Lepisosteus oculatus: one gene and its partner. The protein of the gene in region 2 purifies or fractionates together with the protein of the main gene of each other region. This does not show direct contact. Links are inferred from orthologs where the notes say so. Each region holds a gene or a part of one and is shown on either strand. Other genes may lie near its edges.

Region 1 (3,751 bases), about 10 Mb from region 2:
ATAGTGCGCTTACTTGATTGGCACTGCTTATACTAAAAGGTGGAGGCAATTTCCAGTATTGTTTAAATGGAGGAATTTAATTTATGTTTCTGGAAAATTTTTTTCTCGAAACCGAGTTACAATTTTCCCGGTGGTTTCAATTATTCCCATTATCTTGTAACGGTCATTTCAGGATTTGATCTTATATGAGCGTGGTTCATTATTTTAAATAAATTAAATTTAAAATGTATTCCATAGAATTAACCAGTTACTTCACAGTCGTATGCCCCTTTGTGTCTAAGGCTTGAAATATTTTAAAAATACGGGTACTTCATTTTTTTGTAAATCTCAACAGATTGGGACGTGACTACGTTTTTTATAAAAAATATCACTAAATACCTTTATGCGTGTTACAATAAAATGATGTAAAAAAAACGGTTAACCAGTACAGAAACTAAGAACAAAGCAGTAATGTAGACAATTTTATTAAGGCACCGACCCACATAAAAAACGAAAATAAAAATCACGCTAATACATGGACGACTTACGATGCGAAGACGTGAAGAAAATGTTCATATCTGATCAAATCTACTGTTGTAAAAACCTCGCTTTGCAATGATTCGAAATCATTGTAGATCACGTTTTACAGTAAAACCAACGAAAATAAATCTAACTATAAATTTCCAGTCTTTTCCCGAAATAATATATACTAATTTACGGATAACATACAAAAAATAACATTATCCCACTTAAAGTTGTTTGCAAAGAAAATGGTTACTCTTTTCGATGACGTAAGTGTCCGAAGTGGTCTGAAGAACCTAAGACCCTCCTCTTCTGGAAAACAGATTCCCCGTTAAATAAAAACCCTCCCTGGAGCAGCCCTTCTCCCATTCCGAAGAGCTGGGGTTTGGTGATTGCAAGGGAAAGGGTTCAGGCCATTTGTCTTGGAAGTTTAACCTTAGGAATTAGATTGGCCGAGTGCTGATCTTTTTGAGGTTACTTTTGCTAGGGATAGCCCTACAAATAACAGTATTCGTGTTCGTGCAAAAGGTTTCAAAACTATAGAATGACTTGTAGCCCTATGATAGGCTTAATAGTTGCGTTATGTTTCAGCAGTGTTGTCCATTGTATGCCCAAACATGCAACTAAAAGCAAAAGGCAGGCTCAGCAAGTAATCCCTTTCGACGAAGCATCGCTTTCTCAGGGTAAGCATACCGTTTATCCCTACCAAAACTGGAATTTGGGTTCTCGCTTTTTATTATTGTATACCATTAAGTTCGCAGTTTAAAATTTAAAGGAGAGGTGATTGACCTGAGTTTTATATGACGATTTATGTTTAATGCGTTGCAATTACTGTGTAATTGGGCAGTTGCTGTTTTTGCAGTTTTTCTATTCGAAGAGCAGTTTATAAAGTAATAGCATCTCTTTTCTAGTAACGTACAACTTTACAGTAAGAAAGCTTGTTAGTGTTAATTTTACGGTGTTACTTTTACTTTTCTGTTTTTTTTTCAGAAAAGTAGGCGTACAAGATGAAGTACCTCAAAACTACGTATTGCCCTGTTTCCAGAATCTTGCCCATAGGTCGACTAAGCTCGAGGGTGTTATTTAACAATAATATGAAAGGAACACTGCGCCTTAAATATCTTTATGGTATAATTGATGAGGGGGATATTTTAACGCATAGTGAAATTGATTTTTCTTTATCTTCTTAGACGGCTGCCTTGAGGGCGAACGATTTTTTAGAATTAACGAACAATGGGAGCGTCCGTACCTGGGCAGTACATTGGTTTGCACTTGTCATGGAAGTAGAGGAATTAAATGCAAAACTAAACCAGAAGGTGAGTTTGCAGGAAGTTACTTTTTCCATAATATAATTACAGTACACTTCTGTAAAACTGGAATTAGAATAGGATATTTTTTGCGTACATCAACACACGGATACAAGGAAAGAATAAATATCATCAGATGGTGCATTGTAACTAAACTCCTAACTGTTCAATGCTTGCTTTCCTGTAGCTGAAGAAACTTGCTATGATAAAATCAATGGACGGACCTATCGCGTGGGAGAAACATATGAGCGTCCAAAGGATGGCATGATCTGGGACTGTACTTGCATTGGTTCTGGCAGAGGAAAGATTAGCTGCACAATTGCTAGTGAGTTTCATGTGGACCACGGTGTTAAAGGTTTTTTGGGCATGTTGTTGACTCTAAAACTTTTAACTGAAATAACATGGACTACTCCTTAATGGCTTGATTTTAAATTAAATTATTAAATTTGTAGTAAAATATACTTTATAATAGACATTACATTACAAACCTTAACTGTATTTGTCCCTTTTATACCCTGTAATAATTTTATTTCTGTATCAAGGTGTTTAGTCTTGCTAGTCATTGTGAAGTTGAATGTATTAAAAAAACAAAGATACTTTGTACTACACACCAGAACCACATCTGTAATGTCTTTGAAAACATAAATATTACTAGATGAAGCTGTTTGGCCCACCTAGCTTGCTGTTAGTAGCAAAATTCAGAATTTCTCAGTAATTTCTTGTAAAAAAGACTTAGGTTCAACATCATGGATGGATTACTTTAATCAGACTCCAACAAGCCTTTGTATAAAGAAAAAAAGTGGTTCCCCTTTTCAATTTGAAATGTGTTTTTTTCTTTGTTGTTGTTTCTGTTTTCCCATGTTTCATGATTTACTACTGATTGTGAACCCAAAGTGCATTGGGTTGAATTTGTGCTTTGGTAGTCTTTTATGTTTAAGACTGAAAACATGCAGTTCTGGACTGATTAGCTTTAGAAAACTGTAATACTATCTTAAATGAAGTCTTAAAATTAAGTAAGCTTATAACAGCTGATGAATTCAACTCAAACATTTAGCTCTCTAACACTCTTGGCTTCACTTACTGCTTCCCTATATTTAGATATGTGTGTGTACTTTTACAGTTTCATAAGTATCTTAAATGTCAGTGTTTAATGTCTTAGATTATATTTTGTTGTGGATGTGAAATTGCACATCTGCTTTAAATGTCATGTCACCTGATTTCGCATTCCTCATTAATTTCTTCTGTAGCTTACACAGTAACTAACTCTCCTATTTTTAATCTGTGTTTTTTGCTGTTTTACTATAGCTATAATCTGAATACAGACCCCTCTAGTACTCCACTAATTATATCACTGTAATTTGAGCAATAATTCACCCCTTTCCTGTACTGTTTTCTGCTCAGCAACATGCATTAACTTGAGTGCCTCCCAACAGCAATTTAATAATTGAAAATAATCCTTTGTTGCAATGATGGTGTCTAAAGCTTTACTTGTAATAGGAGCATGTTTTATGGTCTTAAGTTAGTTCAGTTTTGTCACCATATATAGATGTTTTACATTCGTTTTCTTTATACATGTATGTTTACAGAACATACGTCTGAGAGCTTCCCTCTCTAACCTTTATGTGTATATTTACTGAGAAGCATTAGTTCTGATGCTCATTTTTTGTGCTTTTAATGCTTCAGTGTGTACATATATACTGTACATAGCAAAAGAGGAGCCTATGGCAAATGTCTTGTTTCTGACAGACCGGTGTCATGAGGGAGGACAATCTTACAAGATTGGAGATACCTGGAGGAGGCCACATGAGACAGGGGGCTACATGCTGGAGTGTGTTTGTCTGGGAAATGGAAAGGGAGAATGGACCTGCAAACCTGTTGGTAAGCAGCAGGAAAATAAACATTTCTGGTGGTTTGTAACATAATTATAATGTAGATGTAGATAT
Region 2 (3,751 bases):
CCCGAAAGCGAAGCCTGGGGTGTGGTTCGAGGGCGGGCTGGCGTGGGCGGATGAGGGATTTTGTTTGAATCGGATGACGCAAGTTTACATTTGCGTTAACATTTGAGTTACGTTCAGCCTTTGGCAGAATTAAACAATTAAAAAAAATAAATAAATCGAGCACTCTGGCAGGATTGAGGATAAGCAGAGCGCATTCTTTCCGCGTGAGTCTGGCCGGAGCCCGACTCCTCTTGGCAGAAGGCCCTTCCCAGCCCTCCTTCACTGGAGGGGACTCGGGCGAGAGAGTTCCGAACCCCACGGATACGGGCAGGCCCTGGGAAGAGTCGGCTGGGCGTCACCGAACACCGACCGGGGGAGGGGAGTGGGGGACACTGCAGGACACTTCAAAGCCCCATCCTGTGTTCAGACTCGCCTACCATCTTGTCCAATCCCTGCCCCCCCCCAGTCTCAGTGCTCAAAATGAGGTTTGCCATCAGTTCATCCCGTCTAAAATCACAGGACCCGGGGGTCGCCTGAGAACGCAGGTCTGTACGCCAAGGGTGGTGGGAGTGTGGAACAAGCTGCCCACTCATGGCTTCTTTCGGGAAGCGGCAGGAGGTTACCACCGGATCCCAGAGCTACTAGGAACCTCATGAGCCAGAAGGACCACATGGCTGCCTCTTGTCTGGCAACTGCGATCTGCCTTCAGGGTCACCCACCCCTCAGGTCACTAAGTCTTTGCATCCCTGAACAGCCATTGGTCTGTTCCTTCTGGCAGATCACAGGACTGCCCTTTCAAGACAAGGTTCTGCAGCAGACATTTTCCTTAGTCCTGGGAGTCTAAGCACAGGCAAGACCCTTCATGGGCGAGATTCTTGGATCTGCAGCTTCCAGCTCCAGTCTTTAACGTCAACAAGGACCCTCACTGAGCAGCAGTGATCCCGCAAAGACCATCAGGAGAGCAAGCGAGAGCTGAATTATGGGAAAGCCGCCAGCAGGCCTGATTGTCCAATCCCAGACTGGACTCCTACGGGCTCCCTGTGAATACCACACGTACCAGTACCCTAGTTTACCGTGGAAGTCCCGCACCCCGGTACCGGACGGGCCCAGCCGAGCCCCGCGATCTCGGGGAAGATACAGCATTAAAACGGAGCTGATAAAACATTCAAATTGCGTTTGAGAGGAAAAGTGCCCCTGTGTTTGTGTGAATTTTGTCAGCTGTTGCTGGATTAAAACCTTTAGCTTCCTGCATTCCTGCTCTGAAGCGTGCGGGTAACCTGTGCTCTATGGCCACTTTCCCAAATCTCTCCACACAGCCATGCAGATAAGCTAGGTGATCAGGAAGACCCTCAGTAATAGGCTGATTGAAGAGACTAGGCGGACTTCGACCCACGAAACAGGAAGAACAGGGCGGAAACTGGACAGATGCTAAGCGGCACATACACATTTTCCAAAGTCGGTGATCATTTGGAACACAAACGATCTGAACACCCAGCTACCCCACAGGACCAGAGTTCCCCAACAGCTTATAAGTAGGCTGCAAGGGAAGGTTTATTCCCTGTTGAAAAGAGAAGAAAGGAGACACAGCGTTTCGGCTGTGGAGCCTTCTTCGGGTGTGAACCCTTTACTTGTTCCTTTGCCGTCTTCGTGTGCCGTCGCAGCTCCCTGCTTGAACTACTTCATAATACGTAATGCTTATAATGCTTATAAGTAGTCCCCGTCTTTTAAAAAGGGTGAAGGTTGACCCCTCAACCTATAAGCAACAGGTCTCCCAGTCCGGTCCCCAGAGAGCCCCATCTGCTACTGGCGCCCACACACGGGCTACTGGTGCGGGCGCGTGCCGAACCTGGAACCGGAACCCGCAGCAGCCGTGACCGCGCGGACGCGCCCCGCGCTGCGCTGCGCTGCGCTCCGGGAGCTCGCGGGGCTGTCCGCCGGCGGTGTGCGGCTTGAACAAGCCGCAGATGGAGCAGGGCTGAGCTGAGCTGAGCCTGCAGCGGACTACACACATACAGTACACCCGTGCGCCCCCACCCCCGTCATCTCAAAGGGTTCTTTCGCCGGCTGCGGGGTGCTGGAAATGCGTCTGTTTAATAACCGGTTAGAAAGCGGGACAGTTCTCTCTGTCTCTCTCTGCGTGTCCGTTAATCCTCACTAAGACTTCCTTGCATTTATAGAGCAGTATCTATCCCGAATACACCCCGGCTGGCTCATGCACTGAACTCCTGACATGAGCGATCAGATTCGCCTGTCCAGCCAGCGCGCCGGTTTATCCTCAACCCCCTCACCCCGACCGAATGAATCCAGCCCGCTTTCGGGCTGCTCTGGGAGGTAACTGTGGAACATATTTTTCCCTAGTTCTTTCAGAAGGGCAGCTCAGTTTTTTTTTTTTTGTCGCATCATTATTATTTTGTGTCCGTTATTTAACCTGCTGGCACCCGGCCCTACAGCTGAGTCACTGAATCAAGATGGGGATCCATGCGGATTACGGTGCAAAGACTACGATTTGAGCGCGTTTTACTCAGTTCTGCAACGGAAAACAAAACACTTCTGTAATTACGAAACAAGACTACATCTACAGGAGTGAAGGGGTTGGACTGCTAACCAACACACAAGGTAAAATGCTCAGATAAGTTATTTTATCCTCCTCGCTTAAATAACACTGCAGGCTTTGATCCTGCCTTTTACCCTAAAACCCGTTTTTGAACTTTCTGACAGCGGAAGCGAGAGTTTCTTGGTTTCCCTGAAGCGCACGCACACTTACCTCGCTCATCTCGACCGTCTTATCTCGCCGGACCGAGCGCGCACCGGGCTGGGGCCCCCCCTTATAAGGAGAAATCTGAGCGATTGACAACTCTCCTGGCCAATGGGGAGGCCGCTGGAGCGGGACGCGCGGCTCCTTCACCAATCAGAAGAGGGTGGGGGGGGGGAAGGGAGACGGCACTTGAATTTATTGCAGCTGCTTAGCTAGACTACGCCCAAGGTCAGAGCGTAGAGATTTATCTTTACAAGTCTTAAATACCTCATCCACATTTAGGATTATTATTTAAGACGGTTGCCATATTAACACCCATCTGTCTTAAATGGTGCTCTTTGCGTTCAACACCTCACAAACAAATTTCTTCAGTGCCTCGGCAAATAGTCTTTTTTTTATCCCCGCAGAGAACCAGAGGGAGCGAATATGTTCTATCCCCTGGAAGCTGAACCGTCTTCGGAAGTGAGAGAGTTTTTTTTTTTAAGATTAACATCACTTTATTAACCCTTTACAATTTCTTGCATGAGGAATTTGTCTTTTCGCAGACCCCAGCTTGCTCTCCATGAGACACACAGACAGGGAGAGAACCTGGGGGTCAGAGCGCAGGGTCAGCCATTGTACTGTTGGGGTTAAGGGTCTTGCTCAGGGGCCTAACGGAGTAGGATTCCTCTGCCGGCTGCGGGATTTGAACCGGCAACCTTCCAGCCACCGGCGCAGATCCTGAGCCACAGAGCCATGCGCTCCTCTGACCGATTGGGTCGAAAAGCGTGAGAGGTCAGCGGCCCGGACATCGGACCCCCCTCTCGCACAAAGGGGGGACACTGACTCAGGGGAGAGCATTTCTATCAGTGACCACACCTGCCCTTTTCAATCCAACCCGTGAATTAAACCCCGAATCGGCTGGCGCTCTGCAGGTCTGTGCTGGGACAAATCATGAGCTCACAGTTTCCTTGGTCAGCCCCCACACAGCCGAACTTATCATCCAGGCGAGCCGACAGACGGCGTCGGTCGCTTTCC

Evidence for each region. The genes of interacting proteins can lie anywhere in the genome.
Region 1: the proteins of beta-galactoside-binding lectin-like (region 2) and fibronectin purify together in Homo sapiens (affinity purification with mass spectrometry; 3 studies listed by BioGRID and IntAct, with this or other methods). This does not show direct contact. The link is inferred for Lepisosteus oculatus from reciprocal best matches to the Homo sapiens genes LGALS1 and FN1.

Annotation. Positions count from the first base shown.
Region 1 is NC_090707.1:27,125,739-27,129,489, reverse strand, and holds the start of fibronectin, read left to right. Parts: upstream 1-864; 5' UTR 865-1,045; coding exon 1,046-1,184; intron 1,185-1,691; coding exon 1,692-1,817; intron 1,818-1,995; coding exon 1,996-2,133; intron 2,134-3,554; coding exon 3,555-3,686; intron 3,687-3,751. UniProt on the Homo sapiens protein: Fibronectins bind cell surfaces and various compounds including collagen, fibrin, heparin, DNA, and actin. Fibronectins are involved in cell adhesion, cell motility, opsonization, wound healing, and maintenance of cell shape.
Region 2 is NC_090707.1:37,170,960-37,174,710, reverse strand, and holds the start of beta-galactoside-binding lectin-like, read right to left. Parts: upstream 2,840-3,751; 5' UTR 2,753-2,839; coding exon 2,744-2,752; intron 1-2,743. UniProt on the Homo sapiens protein: Lectin that binds beta-galactoside and a wide array of complex carbohydrates. Plays a role in regulating apoptosis, cell proliferation and cell differentiation. Inhibits CD45 protein phosphatase activity and therefore the dephosphorylation of Lyn kinase.